4 linked regions of the Nothobranchius furzeri genome follow. The protein of the gene in region 3 interacts with the protein of the main gene of each other region in a pairwise test. Links are inferred from orthologs where the notes say so. Each region holds a gene or a part of one and is shown on either strand. Other genes may lie near its edges. The genes, in order: syt6a, bromo adjacent homology domain-containing 1 protein, segment polarity protein dishevelled homolog DVL-3 and pitx1.

Region 1 (5,070 bases), on a different chromosome or scaffold from region 3:
GTTGCCCCTTTAAAAAAGAAGACAATTAAGCACAGGAAGTTGGCTCCCTGGTTTAATTCTCATTTAGGAACTGACACCAGTCAGTGATTTGATGCAATTTGCTGGGTTCCTTATATAGGAAATTTTTTTCTGATTGGCTTAATGAACTGACATGTATTGGAATGTTTACTATGTAAAGTGCCTTGAGATGACTCTTGTCGTAATTTGGCGCTAAACAGTTTAGATGGCCTTGTAGCGCTGGGTTTGCTGGTTGATTTGATGGGAATTATAACTATTTCTTCTGTAGTGTGAGGGTTGTTTTGGGCCTGTTAAGGAACTAACGTCACAGGGCCCCCCACCTGGGGGACCCTAGGGCTTAAGGCTTCATAGAATTTCAGATAATAGAACTAAGGTGTTATTTTTCAGCTAGTGATCAGAGAATGAATCTGTTAGGGGAAAAAGTAAAATCAGACTGATTCTTACACTGGTGGCATACTCGATGTCTCTCCAGATGTTTGTCTCTCGCGACAGGTCCGACGTCTCAAACAAATTCTCCAACACCACCTCTCCGATCATGTCATGCCGAGAAAACCTGTCAAAGTCAAAGACACTCATGTGGAGCTTCCTGACTGCCAGCTCTTCGTAAGGCACGGAAAACTGGAAGCTCTCAATGAACGTGGGGTTGAGCGTCTTCCGGTGGACTCGAGTCTGGAACTTCTTGCGATCGGGCAGCAGATAGATCTTCACATAAGGGTCAGAAGTACCACATAAGTCCTTGGCAGGCAGATCGACGGCCCTGATGATATTGACAAGCAGGGCTTCGTTCTCGTAGTCATACTTGAGTGAAAAGTTTATCCTGCCACAGTTTTTGCCGCTGCTGTTCTTGGAGGAATCCTCTGATTCTGGGGCCTTCAGCTGGTAGAGCTCTGGCTGGATGCGGCCGATGCTTGTTGGCTTTTCATCCTTGTCTGCTACATAATCATTTCCCAGATCTAAGCTGCCCACCTGCATCTGCCTGGGCAGGTGCCTTTTGAAAGAGTTGTGCCTGCAAAGACAAAAAAACAGTGTCAATTTTGTAATTAAGGAGTCCAGACTCACTTACGTTGAACAAAGACAACGGATTTTTTGTTTTATTATCGTCAATGAATGAATTATACAATGAATTAGATATAGTAATTAATAATGTAAAAATTGAGAGAGTACATGAAATAAAATTTCTTGGGGTGGTCATAGACAGCAGAATCTGTTGGAAGCCACACATCAAATATGTTAGGGGGAAGCTTGCACGGGGCATTGCTATATTGGGGAAAGCTAAGTATATATTTAATCAGAAAGCACTTTATATGTTGTACAATACGATGCTACTGCCATATTTGAGCTATTGTGTAGAGGTCTGGGGAAACACGTACAAAAGTCATTTACAAACAATAACGACAATGCAGAAAAAGGCTATCAGATTAATAACAAATGCAGGATATTTGGATCACACAAATGAACTTTTTATTAAAACATGGACAATGAAGTTCCAGGACTTGGTTAAATACAAAACAGCACAAATAATGTATAAAGTAAGAAATACATGAATGCCTGATAAAATACAGAAACTGTTCACAGAGAGAGAAGGAGGATATAACCTGAGAGGGACACTAAACTTAAAGATACATAAGTTTAGAACAACATTAAAACAGATGCGTATCACAATAATAGGGGTTCAATTATGGAATAATTTAGAAGAAGAAATCAAAGTAAGTACAAATATAAATGTGTTTAAAATGAATTATAAAAAACATATTCTGAACAAGTATATAGTGGAAAATAGATGATTTATGTGGGTCTCCTTTATTCTAAGGAAAAGTAAATTGTATCAATTGTAAAAAGATGTTTTCTTTTCTTTTTTTGTTTTTTTTTCCATATAGTTTGGTGGTTTTTGGTGACTTGTACCATTTTGTTTGTTTTAATGTAGGTTTTGTGTTAGATTTAGTAAACAAGTAAAAATTACTTGTATAAAGGGGTAGGGACATATAAGTTTCCACTTCAGCCTACTCCTTTTCAAACACAGAAGAAGGGATGATATGTACTTTTTCTGTTTGTGGTATTTTTTTTTTAATTATGTATGTTTTCTTGTTTGAAATAAACTAAACTAACTAAAGCGTCACTGGCTGGAGAAATATCCTAATATGAGGATTTCTTTAAGAAGCAATCCTCTACTTGTTAGCTGCGAATCAGTGGCAGGTTTTGCATTTGGTCCTTGAGCCGACATACCAACTTACCAACCGCTATGATGTGACAATTATCCAAGCAACAAACACTTTGCAGGACTCTTGTTCAGACCACATGGAGCTGGGTCTCACTAACTGTGCTGTGTGCCAATAAACACTGAGGAAATATGTTTTTTTACAGATTTTTTTTACATTTATTCATCGTTATACAATAGCAGGGTGTGTGTGGGGCACGTTGAGAGAAGGAGGGCAGGTACGAGAGCGGGTGAGTGAGAGGGAGTTGCATAACATAGAGTTCATACTTTGCTGTTCATTCATCTATTAGCATACTGTTGAGAGTGCGTACCGTTATGAATACAAAAGAAAAGCAGCTGAGACTACTTCACATCTTTCCTCTATACTGCAGCTGCAGCTGAGACCAAATCCATCTCAGTGTGGGAATAAAATAAAAAGAAATTAAAAGTATTAGTGAGGATGTGTTTAGCTAGCAAAACTTGGTGGTGATGGCTTTAATCTGACCAGAGGAGAACTTCTGATATCAGTGTGAGATGAACCTGAAAGCTGATTGGTTAAATAATGTTAATAATAACAATACATCAAACTTATATAGCGCTTTTTAGGACACTCAAAGATGCTTTCATGCATTCTCATATTCACACACTGCCAGTAATGGTAAGCTACTGCATCTCATTTATAAAACATGGCGTAGAATCCTTACTAAAACCGTGCTTAAGCTCAGCAAAAAAAAAGTACTTACGCCAAGTAGGTTTGTGATCTATCAAACATGGAGGACGCACAGCTGCACGTAATCTCAGCTTCATAAATCAGAGACTATCTAGAAAGGTTCTCAGCTGCTTTTTAGTCACATCCCCCCCTCACCACGCCCACTTTCTACCATAAATGGTCAATGCAAAGTCCCTTGTGGATCTCATGCATATACATAAGCCGGCTTGTTGCAGCGCTCCACCAATGACGATGGCGACCGCAGATCAAGGCAGATCAAGGAAGCGCTATTTCACAGAAGCAGAAGTTGAGGTACCTGTGGGTGAGGTGGAGAAATGAAAGGAAGTGCTTTTGCAAAACAAATAAGAGAAAATCCACAGAGTGGTACAGCGTTGCTGAAGCCGTCAATGCTGAGTTCTTAAGAGAGATCTGTGGCTGATATAAAAAAGTGGCCCGGCTGTGTGCGCGCGCATGTGTGTGTGTGTGTGTGTGTGTGTGTGTGTGTGTGTGTGTGTGTGTGTGTGTGTGTGTGTGTGTGTGTGTGTGAACACCCGCGTGTGTGTGGGGGGGGGGGTCTTGTTCTGTGTGAAAATGAAGCGTTACAAGTGATAATGCTGCAGGATTTCATAATTTTATCCTTCTCAGCAGCAGCACTGCAGGTGCTCTCCATGTCCAGCATGTGTGTAAGCCAGGTCCTTAGTCAACTTAAAGTTGTGCACATTTTTCTCTAAGTTTTCTTTCATAAATCCCGACGTTTGCGTGGAAAGTTGCTTACGAAGTTTTCCGACCCCGTTTTGTGCGTAAGCAAGCTCGATAAATGAGGCTCCTGTGCTTTAACAGGGTCACTGACATCTTTTAAATGTAATATTTTTAAATAAATGAAATATTTTAAGTTAAATCCCTAAAATGTCTTACATGTTTTACCTCTAAGTTACCTAATATGGAAAACATTAAGAAGCTTTAAAAAAGCCCTTTATTTGCTCTTTGTTGTAAATCTGTAAAGGAGGATTTGGGGTGATTTTTGCTGCATAAAATACTTCAAGTCATGCAGGAAAGACGTCGACAGATGTTTAGTCTTACTCACCAAAACCTTCCAGTTGTTCAGGTTGTAGCTTCTAAAAGACGTTTTTATGGTGTTCTTCTTGTTTTATCTATGCGCAGCTGCTCGTGAACGGGGAGGTGTTTATTTATTGAGGTTTTGCTTGAAAACAGGTTTCAGTAATGTAAAATGAAATTATTGGCAGAGTGAATGATCCAAGTAGAGAGTCAGTTTCAGATGTACATTTCTATTTCTGTTGGATTTACGCAACTTCATACGCCACAAAACTCATTTTGCTATCTATTTTGTCAGGTTTGTGCATAGGTGTGTGTGTGTGTGTGTGTGTGTGTGTGTGTGTGTGTGTGTGTGTGTGTGTGTGTGTGTGTGTGTGTGTGTGTGTGTGTGTGTGTGTGTGTGTGTGACAGAGACTAACCGTGTGGACGAGGCTGGCTCAGTGGTTTGTCTCTGCATGCGCTGCGTGCGGCGCAAGAAGTGCTCCCTCATGGAGAGCTGCACGTCCGTGGGGATGTCGGGAGAGGTATGGCTTATCTTCACTGCTGCCTCCAGGAAAGCCTGCGAGCCTATGGGGTCCTTCACCTTTTCTGTTGCCATGGTGACCGCCGGTTGTTGGGGACTGGGCAGCGGGGGAGGCTGCTGGAGCGAGCCGCGTCGTGGGTTACCGGCCGGGCTGAGAGGTGGACTGGGGAAGTGGGCCTTTGTCTGCCGAGGCACCCGGCACAGCTTCCAGGACACTAGCGTAAGGAGGCCCAGCAGAGCCAGGCCACAAACAAGAAACAGACCCAGAACCAGGCCAAAAGTAACGTCTGGTGGTGAGCCGCAGGGACCAGAAACAGGATCACACAATATGGACAAACAGATGGTGACGACAAGGATGAGAGAGGACACACACAGAGAAATCGAGTCTATTAGAACAGGATTTAATACAGAGTGACAATGCATGAGTGCTTTCTGTACAACCCTAAACAACAGAGAGGTGTGCTTCATTAAAATTAAACTAACCTTTATTAGGTACACACAGCCCTCTTACACACACACACACACACACACACACACACACACACACACACACACACACACACACACACACAC
Region 2 (5,070 bases), on a different chromosome or scaffold from region 3:
AAACGTAAACTCATTGTAACAGGCGGGCATTTCAGATTCTATAGCTGAAGATGAACGTAAGATAAAGTGAGTGAGGTCTGATCAGACAACCATCCAGCCAAAGAGTGTAGTCATTACTAGAAACACCTTTATGCGTTCTATCAGACAATGCAACAAATGAGTCGTCTGTTTTGCTTTCAGTTTCAGTGTGTTTCATGACTTAATAAGACCGATCTTTGTCTATCTTTAAGCAATGGCAATAAAAGATGTTAGAAAGGAAAACTATACTTTCAAGGGAAAAGGCAGATATTTTGTGGTTTGCCTTTACTTCCAGCAGAGCAGCTCACCAGTCTGAAGTTGCAATTGGGATATTCTGGACACAGGGGGCGATAGAGGGCTGGGTAGCCTTTTATTAACCCTGGAAAGGGTTGTTTTAGCACATACTTACTCAAGATAAAAATTTAAAAAATTTGCAAAGTATCTCTTTAAAAGGCCTTTACATTAAGGGTTTTTGGCAAGCCCACATTTACATGTCATTGTTCAAGTATTTTCACAATAAGAGTCCAGGGCAAGCATATGTGCGTTAAAACAACAACAAAAACCAGTTCCTATCGTTTTAAGGGTTATATTGTATTGTGGTGTATAGGCTGCTCTCCAGACTTGCTATAGAGTTATTTATTCATGTGTTTTAATTTAATTAGGGCTCACGTGGATTACTGTGACATTTTTAAAATCACAGATGTATTCAGATAGCAGTATTTACTTTGTAAATGGACCTTTAAAGCTCATTGCTTGCTTTTCACCATGATGGCTGGAAGGCATTTCAAGTATGATTTGAAGTGTTTTGTGAAGGAGGGGTCTGTTGTTTCGAACCAAGGTCATTCAAAGAGATGTCTTTAACTTTCCACAGAAATCTACTTCAGAAGATCTGGAATTCCTCTTTACATTTTATGACTTGTTCCGTGGGAGCCAATTATGCTAGATGATACCCTAACTAGGCTAGTAGGTGCAGTGTTTCCCCTAGAAGTTTTTCCATCCATGGTGTAGGGGGTTGCAGAGCATCCTCCGTGAGGGGCTTGCGGGGCCGCGGCCAGGCCATATTGGATCAAGTCAGGGGTACCGTCCAAGGGGTTCTGAAAGCTTCACGAGAAGACGGTCGTAATTGCTCCACATCTGAAAAGCGCGACAGGTTCGCTGCTATGCATCGTCTATGAGAGCGGGGTGGGGGAGGGGGGTCACGAGTGGAATGTTTCGCTTCCATGCGTCTCCTGTGGGGGGATCTCGTAGGCGTGGCACTGGAATTTTAGCTGTGGCGCAGTGCCACGCTTGAGCCTGTGTAGGGGAAACACTGAGGTGTCATTTCTGGTAAATGTCTATGGTGTGACATCATTCTGGTAACGATTTGTTATAGATGGTTCTTTTTTGTTTATACATTTGTACAAGCTACTTCCTATTTATGGGATATACTTGGGAACTTTCCGTATTATGGCTATGTTGCTAATACATGCTAGTAAGCAGTTACCCTTCTGTTTGTTGGATAGATTACATTTGGACTTGGTCATTTGACAAAACATAAGGCTTCCGTAGCACAAGGAGTTTGTATATCAACACTGTTTTTTATTTTTTCAACTCTTTAGTGTGTAGATTTAGTTGTTTTTCCCTGTTTGGCCTGTTTTGATCTCTTCTGTAACTTTGTGCTTCTTTTCTCTAGGTTCTATTGAGAAGCATGTGATGACTCATGCGAGGCAGACCGCTTCCCTCAGCCAGAATCACAGTAGTTCTGAGTGGTGGGATTGTAGTCGTCCTTGGCCTCATGCTGGCGCAATGGGAGGCGACTGGCCTGAGGGTGCGTTACGATTTGGCAGGACAAAGAAAATAAGTGGGATCCTGAAAGAAGAGAAAGGCATGGCGAAGAGGAGGAACAAAAAGAAAGAGGGAATAAAACGTTCAGACCAGGAGAGAAAGCTGCACCGGAAACAAGAGAAGAAGCGCAACCGAAAGTTGTACCCTTTGCGAGGGAGGGCTGGGAATGCGGATGAGGAAGGGCGGAGCTGCAATGTTCTCCTCACTCGTTTTGAAGAAAGCTTACGCAAACAGGAAAGGTCTAAAGAAAGGGGGAAAAAAGATGGTCACATATCCAGAAAAGGGAAATGTAAGAAAAGAGAACAGGCAAAGGTGTTACCAAAAGGCAAAGTTAAGACAAAAGGCCTAGATTTTGCAAAGTGTGTTGAACTCAAAGACTTGCTACCACGCAAGCGTAGACTAGCTTCCCTCAATGCCGAAGCGGTAAACAGTTTACTACTTGAAAGAGCTGATGCTCAGCCAGCAGCCAAACAGGCCAGGAGACAAGAGGATTATGTGGAGGGAGGGGTTCCCTTGGATCCAGCCAGAGGTAATGTGCAAGGGGGTCTGAAAACTTCACAAGAAAACGGTCGTAAATGTTCCACGTCTGAAAAGCCTGATTTGTTCCAAAGTTCCAAGCTAAGCAAGAAGAGAAGTGATGAAAGTATTTGGATGAGCCAGGAATGTTTGAATGCACCTACACCGAGACGGTTGGCTGGACTTAATGCTGCAGCCCTGCTGAAGTTAACCAGCTCCTCTGCTACCAGTAAACAGAGAGCAAAGCCTACACCTACAGCAGCTAACACTTCAGAATATGTAGTCCCTGCTGCAATCTCAACCCCAAAGCAGCACCACAAGGTCAAATCCCAACACAACAGTCGTGTACAGAAAAGAAAGGGCACCAAAGCCCCCCCAGGGCCTGGTTGCTGCACAACCTGCAAAGAGAAAGTAGACTTTGAGCCCAAAGTGGAGTGGGAGACGGCCAGCTGCAACCGTTACCTGACCAATCAAGGCTATCAATCTCGTAGCATGCTAGCATACCCGCTGAAACAAGTGAAGGAAGAACAGCTGGAGGCCGAGCTGAGTCCATACTACTGCTGTCCAAATGAAGGCTCTGTGGAATACTGCCACCGCTTGGCATACTTCCTCAGTCAGCAGACCTACGGAGACTCCGAAGACCAATCGCTCAAGTCAGCAATGCCTCCTGTGAAGCCAGAGTGCCTAGTAACCTCACCATCACTCACGCATTCCCACCCACACACGGCCCTCACCCTCAGCCCTCACCCATGCCTGTGCACAGCGGACCACTGCTTCTCCAGCTACTATGTCCACATTGCCCACCCAACACACACTGGAACTAATTCAGCAACCTTAGCCACACAACCTCTCAACTTCACCTCATCCAGTTTGTGCTCCAGTCATATTAGCAGCTCCAAGCTGCTGGGACAACAAATGTCTCATGCCTCAGGGTTAACCCACCCTTCCTACTGCAACTCTGTGTCTTCTCCCTGTTATGGAGATGCCTGCGGCGTCACTGGCTACACCTACAGAGCAATGCCTCCAGTCACAAGCAGAGGCTGTTCCTTTAGTACTGGATGCACTGGATGTACGCACAGTATCAAGAAAGGTGAGTGGAAAACGTAAACACGCCTAAATGTCATCAGTATTGGGAAGAACACTCATTATAACGTAAGGAGTAGGCATGGGCGATAAATCGATTTAATGAATTAAATCAAATTTTTGTTGCGGAAGATTTTAAAAAAACTTTTATCAAATTGTTATGTAATAGCGCCTTTATTGTCCCCCCAGAGCTTCTGTAGCGTTAGTTTCACATAACCGCGACAACAACGTCACAGCACGCACACGAAACAGCAACAGCAAGCAACTCCATGGCCACCGGTGAGAGTGGGAAGTTTGTTCCTAAAAACGGAATTAAATCATCCGTTGTTTGGAACTGGTTTGGGTTTGCTGCGACGGGCGTGAAGCGTGGCACTTTTATTCCAATAGGGTGATCATTTATCCATTATTCATCTCAGAAATGAGGGTTACATTTGTCTTGCTTGTGATTAAATAAAAAACTAAATTGGCTTTAACGTGCCTTCCATTAGTACTTATTGCTGTTCTTAATAATTGAGGGGGAGAGAGAATCGGAAAAAATCGTAAATTGAATTAAAAAAATAAAATCGGAGACTTTATTTTTAGGCCGTATAGTGAGAAGGTCAACTTTATTTTGATCTGCCAGATAGAATCCAAGCTTTGATCGAAACAAAAGTGGTCTTACAACAGTTCGCTTGGGGTAGGCTGTTCTTGTGAGTGTTTGTTGAAAAACATGTCAACCTCAAGTGCATTTACATAGTTTCTTGTTAGTCGATAGGGTTAGGTACAATCTTTTCAGAATGCACTTCTCCAATCTGAACTATAGTGGTGTTGTTGACTGATAACTCAGGAAGGCCAGGGACACATAACTAGATTTTTCTTTTGGTTTGAATTAAATAAAAGCATGTGATCATTAGATTTTAAAATCCCTAAATAAATCAAATCAAATCAAAGATACTTTATTAATCCCAGAGGGAAATTAGAGTTTCAGTACACACAATTCAGAGATCAGACATACATGGGCAAGACACATGACAAGAATTGGTGACTGTGGTCATTCGCAACCCTGAGTCGCACTACCTTAATAGAGATAAGAGGGTTAAATGAGGATTGGTTCAAGTGGAGGGGGAAACAGTATTTCTGAGTTACCCTCCACAGGGAGGGCAGCTTTGCTCAGCAAAAAAAAAAAAAAAACACCTCAGACAGATATGCAACAGACTTCAGACAACACAACATAAGTGTCCACTAGGTGGGGTGGTGGGTTGAGACTATCCCCACTTCAGTTCCTGCAGCCACGATAAGCAGCGCATGTCACCTCAGTGTGGATAGGGGGAGGAGCATTGAGGGTTGGAGGGTTGCAGTGACACTGGACGCTTCAGCGGCCTTCCTGCAGTCCTGCCCAGTCTGGGAAAGGAGGCAGAGTTGAGTAGCCATAGCGATGGCACATTCCACATATCTTCTGAGGGGGGAGTTTTCGTTGGAGCCTTGCAGGCTCAAGGACGCCAGATTCCGATTAGAAATTGTTTTGGGGCCAGACAGAGATAATTTCCTCTCTGTCTTACAGTTTGTTGGCCCTCAACCTCTCAAAATCCCAATAATGGACGTTAAACTATCCCAATCTGTGCTGATTCGTCCACTCTCTCCTTGATGGCA
Region 3 (5,070 bases):
ACTGAGGGACATCGTGCACAAGCCAGGGTCCGTCACACACACACACACACACACACACACAACATTCTATAGTTAGACCCACAAAACACACGTCTGAGTCTTGGTGATGTTGCTGTTTATTGCAGCCCCATCACCTTGACTGTTGCAAAGTGCTGGGACCCAAACCCTCGGAGCTGCTTTGCTCTGCCCAGGAGTGAGTACTTGTTTCTGGTTTTTCTTTTTTCTTTTTTACATGTGTTCTCTGTGAAAATGCTGGAGTGCTCATAAATCTAAATGACGGATTGATTTCATTTCTAGTTTTACTTTAATGTCACTCCGTCTGCTTTCCTTACACTGACCAGGTGAGCCCATCCGGCCCATCGACCCGGCTGCATGGGTGTCCCACACCGCCGCTATGACCGGGGTTTACCCTGCTTACGGGATGAGCCCTTCCATGAGCACCGTCACCTCCACCAGCTCCTCCATTAGCAGCTCTATCCCCGAGACTGAACGTGAGTCATGTCGTCCCCCTGCAGCTGCCTGTTGTGGCTTGTTATTGAGGCACTGTTATTCAAATCAACTGTCATCGCTCGCTCCTCGGTAGTTTAAGCACATTTTCTTATTTGTTGTCATTTGTTTGTTTATCTGACTGTTTGCACTGCTGTGAAAGGTGCACCAACTAAACGTTTTCACGATCAGTCTTTTATTAATACTCCGATTCTCCTCAGACATGTTTGTTAGTGTGGCCTCGCCCTTAAACCACATTCCTGTGACTCGTCTCTGTTCCATTTGGGAGCCTCACGGCTTCCATCTGCTGGATAACTCCCGGTCTAAGCGGAGCCATAACTCACAAGTTTAATCTTCTCTGTAATCTTTGGAAACGACTGGGATGTTTTAGCTTCATTTGTCGAGAAAAATGTTTCCTTCCTTCATTTCTATGTTCCTGAATATTTGGGTTAAATAGAATCACACTTGACTTGATAAGACCTGTAAAAATCATTCTCGTTGTTTTGTCATGAATCTGGTTCATTTTTGTGGGTTATATTTCACATGCGGCTGCAGAAAAGTAAAACTAGCTTCAGCCGTCATAAGATGCACAGTTGGGTTTTGTTTCAGTCAGTGTAAACCGTGCAGCCACTTGTGTGTAAAACTACAGAAAATGCATTATTACTGATCTCTGTGCAGCATTTGGATTCGTGTAATAGATTTATTATTTGTGCATGTGCAAAATGTATTTTCACAACCCCGGTGCAGTGAAACCCTGGCATGCTTCCTGTTGCTTTTGGCACTTTGTTACAGGGGTGTGGACTCCCAGCTGGGAATCACCGTTGTGGGGAGGTTTAATATTCCATGGTCTGGCTGTTTTAAAGCTGCTGCATTTTCTGTGAAAACGAGCAAAGTTTTGGTCCGGTCCAAGTGCTTTTCATGGACAAGGCTAAGCTATGTCTCACATTTTTGGTGAAACAAAATAAGTCAGATATCTTTTTAGGCAAATTCCGAACACATCCGCATTTTTTAGTAAGTAAAATCTCAGACCTCTAAAGGAGAACAAGGCAGTTTTGGCTTGCTTTTAGCACCCTCTAGTGTCCAATTGTAGAACCAAAAGCAAAACCTATCTCCTCGCTGTGTGTTGGGTTAGAGTCTTTTTTACACCTTAATCTAATAAAAGCTGAAACATCTCCCTAGCCTGTTAGTGTCTACAGGAGTGATTCATCACTAAATTAAACAAATCAGCTGTGCTCATGATCAGTGGAAGAAGGACAATCTGCATGTTTCCCTAATTGCTCTACGTGACAGTTGCAAATCTTACCAGGAGGCAGTTAGATCTGTTCCATTCTCACTTCCTTAAACTCAAATAACCCTAGAGTACTTTATACCGCAATTAACTCAGTTTTGAAAGTGATTGATCACCATTTGGTGCAGGCTTCAGCTAAAATGTGTGATGAGTTCTTTGACTTTTTTATGGGGAAAGCCCTTCTGCGATACTATCAGAGGTTTGATAGCATTTCAACCAATTAGTTTAGATGACTTGATCAAGATTGTTGGGGAGGCTAAGCCGAGCGGCTTGCCAGGTGACGTGATGCCTGCGCGCCTCTTTAACCCTCCCACCGTCTTTATGGGTGACCCCGCGAGGAAAGTTGACCATTGAGCAGGATTGATGGTTTATCCCTTGAGGCCCACGTGGCAGGGGTGAGGCGGTGCTCATTCCTCACCCCTGCCACATGGACCCAAGGGATGAGCCATCAACCCTGCTCAATGGTCAGCTTTCCTCATGGGGTCACACCCAGTAGGACAGTGGGAGGGTTAAAGAAGTCTTTCCAGTAGTCACCCCTCTAATATTGCACATAATTAACATGAGCCTAAGCTCTGGCGTAGTCTCTGGTGATTTTAAAAAGGCGGTTGTTCAACCTTTGCTCAAAAAGCCTGGACTGGATGCTTCACTGTCTGCAAACTACAGGCCCATTTCTAAACTTCCATTCTTAAGTAAGGCACTAGAGAAATGTGTTTACCACCAGCTCTTGGTTTTTATGGATGAGAATGGCATTTTTGAGGCTTTCCAGTCTGGCTTCAGAGCTCTACACAGCACTGAGACTGCACTGGATAGAGTGCTCAATGACATTTATCTAGCTACTGATAGCGGTAATTCTGTGTTGTTGCTTCTGTTGGACCTCACGGCAGCCTTTGACACGATGGACCATGAAGCGCTGCTTCACCGTCTCCATTATGTCGGGATTTCTGGGTTAGCCCTGGAGTGGTTCAGATCATACCTGACAAATAGAAAGATGTGTGTAAGGATGGGAAGTTATTCCTCAAAGTACTCTGATTTACCCTGGGGGGTATACCACAGGGCTTGATATTGGGACCTTTGTTGTTTTCTACTTACATTCTGCACTTAGGTGACATCTGTAGTGAGCTTGGAGTTCACTTCCACCTTTATGCTGACGATGGTCAGCTGTACCTGCCTCTGAACACGTCAAGTGGTCTCTCTATTTCTATTCTTACGAACTGTTTGAGGGAGATCAAGGCCTGGATGAGTGGAAATTTTCTGAGCTTAAATGATCAGAAAACAGAGGCTATATTGTTTGCTCCAAGCAGACATTGTGACTCTTCCCTAACTGACTGTGGGTCATTTAATGGCCAGCTGAGTGCATCAGTGACTAATCTTGGTGTTAAACTAGATAGCGCCCTTAGTTTTGATACCCACATCAATGGAGTGCTCTCCTCCTCCTTTTTCCACCTTCGTCGGCTGACAAAGATCAAACCTTTCTTGTCACGACATGATCTTGAGACGGTAGCCCATGCTTTTATTACGGTGTGATTGGACTACTGTAACAAGGGCTCAATAGCCAGGTTGCAAATAGTGCAGAATGCTGCTGCCAGGTTTTGAGGGCAGGCGCAAGTATGACCCCATTACTCCTGTCCTGGCTGCGCTTCATTGGCTGCCCGTTGATGTAAGGATTCGTTTTAAGTTACTTTTGCTGGTTTTTAAAACGTCAGATGGTTAGGCCCCTCCTTACTTGGTGTCACTGCTTCAACCGTACACCCTTGCACGGTCACTCTGCTCGGAGAACCTCATGCTCCTCTCGGTCCCAAGGTCACGCCTAAAGACGCGTGGTGATAGGGCCTTTGCTGTGGCAGGTCCTAAGCGTTGGAACGAGCTTCCTCTTAGCATAAGGGCCTCCACCTCTGTGACGGTTTTTAAGGCAAGGCTAAAAACCTACTTTTATGATCTGTCTTTTAATCTTTCTAACTAGTTTTTATTGTTTGACTTAAAGTGATCCCACACATTCACTGTGTTGTTTGTCTGTATCGTGTGATCCAATGTTTTTATTTTCTGGACCTAATGTTTTATGTTTTTACTTGGTCTGTGTAGCACCTTGGTGGCATGTTTTTGCCTGTAAGGCGCGATTTATAAATAAAGTTGAGTTGAGCAAAACATGCAGGAAACATTCTAGAACCAGACTAAGTCCCAACAGAGCAGCCCGCCAGTCTGAAGTTGCAAGTGGAATATTCTGGCCACAGGTGGTGATAGAGGCCTTTCACTAATAGAATAAAATAGACTTTATTGATCCCACACTGGGGACATTCTCTTGCTACAGCAACACCAACACTTAAGAGAATAATTTGAAGAAAAATAATAACAAATGTACATGCACATACAGATAAGCTGTAAGCTATTATTGTAACCTTTGACCACTAAAAAACCATGAACTTGGCCCTTCTTATACAAAGCATCTGTGTTGTTGGATCAGTTCAAATTGCTGTTGACTTTGTAAAGGGTCATACTGGCTCAAGAAAATGATTTAAAATTATGAAAAAGTTGCAAAGTATCCCTTTAAAACTACATATTTGTGTGTCCTCGTCTGTCTTCTAGGGTTCGATGACTTCCACCTCTCCATCCACAGCGACATGGCAACGGTTGCTAAGGCCATGGCCTGTCCTGAGTCGGGCCTGGAGGTGCGGGACAGGATGTGGCTGAAGATAACCATCGCTAATGCCTTTATTGGTATGTTTATAAGACCACCCTTTTGGACTCTGTCACAACACGTGAATTATTATTCTAAAATACAAACCAGTGTTAAATCCAAGTGTTGGTTTTAAAAGACGGTGAGTGATGGAGACTGCTTAACAGTGAGAGAAGCTCATTCCAAAGCACAGAAGACGCATGCTTTTGCAGTAGTAGTAATTACATTACATGCAACGAGAGTCGCTGCTCTGTTGAAGCGTTTGGGCGGCTGGTGGGACGTGCGATGTTCTGACATATTTTTTCAGTGTTTGTTGTTCATCACAGGTTTTATAACGTCATGTAACAGCTAGCAGTCAAATGTCAGAAAATAAATTCTCTATTCTGCCTCCTCAGGTTCTGATGTGGTGGACTGGCTCTTCCACCACGTGGAAGGGTTCTCAGATCGCCGGGAAGCACGAAAATACGCCAGCAACCTGCTGAAAGTCGGCTACATTCGACACACAGTCAACAAGATCACCTTTTCTGAACAGTGCTACTATGTGTTTGGAGACCTCTGTGGCAGTGAGTGGACTTTGAAATGTAGTTTTTTTTATGTACGAACTAAATGTGGTCAATCTAAAGGT
Region 4 (5,519 bases), on a different chromosome or scaffold from region 3:
AAATTATGTTGTTTTTTAAATGACAACAAATCTCTTATAACTTTACATCTACGGGAGAGGTGGGAAAAAAAATCAGAATTGAAACTTTTTCCTCATAATTCTAAGGTTTTTCTTTTAGAAGTCAGACAGGAAAAATACTTTTTTCCAGTGGCTTTAATCATCTTCTGTAGACATTTCTTAAGAATAATGAACTTTAACATTTCAAAAGGTCCTGTTCTGGTTTTGGCTTTTTATTCATGTGAAAAAGGCCTTTTGGATTGCTGCAGACTGCTGACCTCTGGATGCACCAGAGGTTTACATTTACTAATATTCTTGCTTGTAAAATAAGCAAAAATCTTGTTTTAGAGAGGCGCGAAAACAAAGTTCCAGGCAGGAGGGGTGTAATGGGAAAAAATTGGACTAGCTGTTAGCTCATCAATCTTGTAAGTTTTCAAACTAATAGTGTTCACTTAGTAAAGTTCACTTTATAACTTTAGTCCCCCCCAAAAAAAAGAACATTTGAAAAAAATTTACTTGGATGGTCTTAAATCTTAAAGTGTCCAAATTGTCTCGTTAATGGGGAGCTGGTGTTAGAAACTGGGCAGAACAGCTGCTAACGTGAGAGGAGCCGAGAAGGAGCCTGAAGGAGGTCTGATGGAGGCCCGCAACTCCTCTTTAATCCTTCTGTCTCAGAGCGGAGCTTTGCTTTGTGCGCAGCTCTTGGCTGCATTAAAAAAGAAAACGGGATCAAACAAATTTCACACTTTCTGTAAAGTTTCTGGTCAGAGGAAGCTGCGCACGTGAAGCTAAAGCTGGAATTATTGATCCAAAACGGATTCAAACGCTTCTAAGTAAATCAATGTTTTTATTCTAATAATGAAAACTCATAAAGGGTTTTGAATACTTTAATCTGCTCGGCCGCCTACCTGACCTACATCCTCTGCTCGGATACACACACTCACACATACACATACACACACACACTCACACATACAAACACACACGGAAAACATTAACCTAATTACCAGCTTTAATTGATTTCTATGATTTTTCGGAGCGTCGCTTTAACCTACATTATACACTTATTTTGTATTAAAATAAACTTTTGATCGGAGATTAAAAGTTAAATAAAATATTTTTGTCTGTTTAAGTAACTCAAAAACTGTTAACGGGTGTAATCTGAGCAACGTTAAAGATTCAGTAGCTAAAATAAAATAAAATGTAATATATGTGATTTAAATAAATAAATGTAGCTAAACATATGAGTCAGAATCCATATGGATTAGGAATGATTATTTCCTGTTTGGAGATGAAAACAATAAAAAGTAATTTTAAAATAAAGTTAAAAAATACTTTTTTCAGATATTCGACCTTCACTTATTATTATTATTATTATTATTATTATTATTATTTTCGATTAGATCTTTTTACCTTCTTCAAGTTGTGTTTTCATCTGCTACATTTATCAGTAATAACAATAATTATAATATTTAAATTGAAGCAACCGCTAAAATACAGAAATCAGGTTTCAAACATTTTGCAATCGAAAAACTGTTTTAAATCCTAATGAAATAAATGACGAAAATGAAAAAAAGTGGGAAATCGATGCCGAATAAAGCTGTGAAGACTCGGTCATACCGAAGATGCGGGAGGATGAAGAAGGTGACGGGGTGGGAGACTAGGGAGGGATGTGTGACGTCACGTTGGGGCTGTGCAGTAGAGAGCCAAAGAAGAAAACCAAGGCAACAACTCGGAGCTAACCAAAGCGCCGATCACCGAGGACGCAGCGTTTACGCACAGGCAACGCTAAACTGGATTTACTGGGACACCTGCATGGGACACCGTGAGGCGTTTTTACTTTTACTCTTTCGTCTGCTGGGAAACAACTGGTGAGAAAAACACGTGCGTGTGATTTTAGGCGATTGGAGACTTAACAGCTCAATTAGTAGCGTTTTTACGCACCGGGCTCACGAAGAGCTATAAATGCGACAATTCATGCCGCTGTGATCAGTGTAAACTGCGCGTGTTCCTATCTGGTTGGAGGTCAAAGAGGCAGGAGAGGATTAAGCTAAAATAACCGTTTTATAGAGAACACGCATCTGCGTTCAGATCAGCGCTGGTGATGGGAGATAGAGAGGACACGAACAGCAAATATATTCCTGCATCTGTGGATGCGCGTGCGTGCGTGCATATGTGTGTGTGGTGTTAGGGGCGAAAGTAAACTGTCTCTAGGTCAGTGATGTTACTGTTGGGCCCAAAACACGAGATGAATGAATGAATGAATGAATGAATGAATGAATGAATGATAGAAAAGCATTCAGTGGCAGGCTGTCAGGTGGAGCTGCTGCTCTGTAAATATTGGCTGATTTTCGCTTGGTTCCTTCAAAGTTGTTCTTTCACATTTCCTTGTAAAACCATGTTTGAGGATTGGAAAAATGACAAGAAATCAGCAGTGATACACCAGCGTGTTGGTTCAACTTAAAATGACATTAATAAATAAAGTTAATATGTTTTGTCCTCTGGTTTTGTTTTTCAGGTAACTGGAATGGAACTGAATTTGTCCAAGAATGTGATTTCCTGTGGGGACCCAGGTAAGAGGATGCTGCAGGTTTAAAATGTTTGTGAATTAGAGATTTCTCCATCTTTTACGCTCAAAAAGCTGCTTTGCTCAGGGAGCTATGAAATGTGGAACTGGGAGATGCAAATTAATTTTCTGTCCGGTTTTTTAAAAAACGAGAAAAAATACCCTCTTTTGGAATTATCTAGGAACTGTTTTATGTAAACATTGTCTTTAATTAAAATATTTTCAACTAACCAAACTTTAAGATTTCAGAGTTTAACAAAAACAATTAAAGATTAAAAAAACATTAACAAATGTAAACTCGTGCGCAATTTAAGAGGGTTTGGACATTTAAATTGTGTAATACGCTGGTATATTTTGTCAGTTTAGAAAAAAAATTCTAAAAAATGCAACAGTGCGTAAAATTGGAGTTGTCACCAAGAGAAGTACAGTTATTTTATTTTAATCATGATTGTAGAAACTTTAGAGAACGTTTAAATGATTTATAAGTAATTTATTGGGTTCATTGGGAATGCTGACATGTTTTTCTAAATTGAGAATGAGTTTTGCCAATTAGCAGCTGTTTTAATTACTCAGACTGTCTCTTTGTGGGTTTAGGCTGGTAGTCACACTGCGGGTCAAACAGGCCTTTTAGACCCGAGCAGGGAAAACATCACCAAGGCAATAATCTGCTCTGTCCTTCTCCAGTTACGCACCGTCTCCAGTTACATCTCCGCTGCCTTCCAGTTTTTTGCTGCTTTGTTTTCTCTTGCGCGCTCCCCTTTGCTGTGCGGAGAAATAAAACACAAATACTGTAATTTTATGTGATGAACAGCGTTCGCAGGGTTTATTTTGACTTCTTAGAGAGAAAAACATGAGTGTTTGCGCTGTCGCTGGCCTTTAACCTGTCCTGCCGGATGGAAAGACTTTTTAACTCATCCATCACACGCAAGTGCCCTCCAGAACGGAGAAGGACGCGGGCAGGGATGGAGGCTGGGTATTTAGATTAACACCATTTATCACACAGCCGTATGAAGCTCAGAGATCTCTGGAGCTGAGGTGGCGAGACTCCCAAGCGCAGTAAATCCCATAATACTCCAAAGCGGACCAGAGGGGTCGTTGGGTTTACGCAGATTTCAACTGATCTGCATAAATGTAGACTTCCAAAATTCTAACGTGCATGTATGTTGATGCAATTTTGGATTCTTCTTTAAATGAGAGGCCAGATGATGAAAATAACGCTGATTTCACGAAATGCCGCAAAATCTTGCGTGATTTATGATAATTAACATATATGAATTACTGACACATCTCCGTTTGTGCAACCTATCGCGTTTGATGAGTAGGATGTTGGATGAGACTGGACTGCATCCAATATATTTTTTAATTCGCCCAGTGCTTAATGGGGCATTTTTCTAAGGGACCAACATAGGCTGAACCTTATAATCATTTCGCATGCAAACAGTCGGTGATAATTACATCTATTATTGGTCACGTGACAATGCTGCGTCCAGATGAAGCTTTTGAGTTCCTGTGCAAAATACATCAGAGATGAAAAAACATTTACGCACAGACGCAGTGGTGTTTGTTTGCGTGCTGACACATCTTTATATACCAAACTATTTTAAATAAATAAATAAACCATCTTTAGTTTTAAACTTCCCAAACCACTGAAGTGAAATTCACCCTAAATTCCAAAATCACCAGATCTTATTTGAGAGTATTCCTCCGGCAGGCCAGCACAGGCCCTCAGATCGGATGCGTTCCTGTCACTAAAACACGCAGCGTGTGGAGAGGATGAAGAGCAGATGGCAAAAGCCAAGCGATTGCTGAGAGCTTTCACAATTGTTTGGTATAGGGCCTTCGGGGGTGTTTCCTGGTTGGACGGGGATCTTATGTCAGAAGTCAGTCATACAATGGTCGGCAGTGGCGCCGGAGACGCTGCGTGGTCCAGACTTGATTTTACCCGAACCAGCGCCCCGGTTAGGCAGCAGACGCACCAAACTAACCTCATTTATGTTTGCACCTATCCGTTCTGTGCAGATGAGAACGACATACTTAAGTGTGCATGCGATCATTATTAGCAGTGGTTTGATAACGTGTATATTTTTTATGTTTTAATTTTTAATTTTAGCAGCATTTTATTCCAACGTTTCAAACCAAAGTCAGTTAAATTCATTGGATAATATTGGCTGGAGTGTATTCCTCACGTGTCTTCGAAAGAGAGTCTCATTTTTATCTGAGCCAACAGAACAACAGTGCGCTTTAGGATTCGACCCTCGAGTTGTCGTGCGTATAGCTGCGCTACAAGAACGACTGTAAAAACAGTTTTTGCAGTATATTATCAAAACATTTGCTTATGTGCACGCTGACCTTCACAACTCCACTGACTCTTTCTCCACTTCTCTTAGTGTTAATTTGGATAAAAGACACCTGCTCTGCTCTTTTGGCTTGGAGCACTGGCACAATCTCGGCGCAGATTGTGCCAACGAAACGCCATCATCATCGGCAACCATCATAGCCTCATTTAGATGTAAACAAGGATAATTGCAGCACCTCATTGGGTTTGAGTGCGTAAAGTGCAAATGCGTAAAATGTCTGAATAGAAATGAGGTTGTTTGGACAAACAGCTGCAGCACATTCTCTGGTGTGTTCGGTAGAAAAGATCCAGTCTGTGGCACACATCAGTCAAAGGCACGTTTCATCCAGAGATCAGTCAGTGGGCAGGCCTGTGGTCAAATGTTTATTCAGCTCAGCACATAATAGAGATATACATTCACCGTGTGTGTGTGTGTGTGTGTGTGTGTGTGTGTGTGTGTGTGTGTGTGTGTGTGTGTGTGTGTGTGTGTGTGTGTGTGTGTGTGTGTGTGTGTGTGTGTGTGTGTGTGTGTGTGTGTGTAAAGAAGCGCATTCAGTTGCGTTGGGGATGGTTTTCCAGCGTGAATAAATGGCCCGTTTCTCCTCCAAAAAGGCTCCGCAC

What was found.
Region 1: the proteins of segment polarity protein dishevelled homolog DVL-3 (region 3) and syt6a interact in binary tests that used the Homo sapiens proteins (3 or more experiments, as listed by UniProt). The two-hybrid records come from large-scale screens. The link is inferred for Nothobranchius furzeri from reciprocal best matches to the Homo sapiens genes DVL3 and SYT6.
Region 2: the proteins of segment polarity protein dishevelled homolog DVL-3 (region 3) and bromo adjacent homology domain-containing 1 protein interact in binary tests that used the Homo sapiens proteins (3 or more experiments, as listed by UniProt). The two-hybrid records come from large-scale screens. The link is inferred for Nothobranchius furzeri from reciprocal best matches to the Homo sapiens genes DVL3 and BAHD1.
Region 4: the proteins of segment polarity protein dishevelled homolog DVL-3 (region 3) and pitx1 interact in binary tests that used the Homo sapiens proteins (3 or more experiments, as listed by UniProt). The two-hybrid records come from large-scale screens. The link is inferred for Nothobranchius furzeri from reciprocal best matches to the Homo sapiens genes DVL3 and PITX1.

What each region holds. Positions count from the first base shown.
Region 1 is NC_091755.1:39,409,370-39,414,439, forward strand, and holds part of syt6a (synaptotagmin-6), read right to left. Parts: intron 4,785-5,070; coding exon 4,394-4,784; intron 1,025-4,393; coding exon 463-1,024; intron 1-462.
Region 2 is NC_091742.1:23,422,644-23,427,713, forward strand, and holds part of bromo adjacent homology domain-containing 1 protein, read left to right. Parts: intron 1-1,690; coding exon 1,691-3,448; intron 3,449-5,070.
Region 3 is NC_091751.1:58,280,566-58,285,635, reverse strand, and holds part of segment polarity protein dishevelled homolog DVL-3, read left to right. Parts: coding exon 1-27; intron 28-125; coding exon 126-193; intron 194-341; coding exon 342-491; intron 492-4,354; coding exon 4,355-4,486; intron 4,487-4,840; coding exon 4,841-5,008; intron 5,009-5,070. UniProt on the Homo sapiens protein: Involved in the signal transduction pathway mediated by multiple Wnt genes.
Region 4 is NC_091750.1:54,396,336-54,401,854, forward strand, and holds the start of pitx1 (pituitary homeobox 1), read left to right. Parts: upstream 1-1,722; 5' UTR 1,723-1,868; intron 1,869-2,515; 5' UTR 2,516-2,524; coding exon 2,525-2,570; intron 2,571-5,519. UniProt on the Homo sapiens protein: Sequence-specific transcription factor that binds gene promoters and activates their transcription. May play a role in the development of anterior structures, and in particular, the brain and facies and in specifying the identity or structure of hindlimb.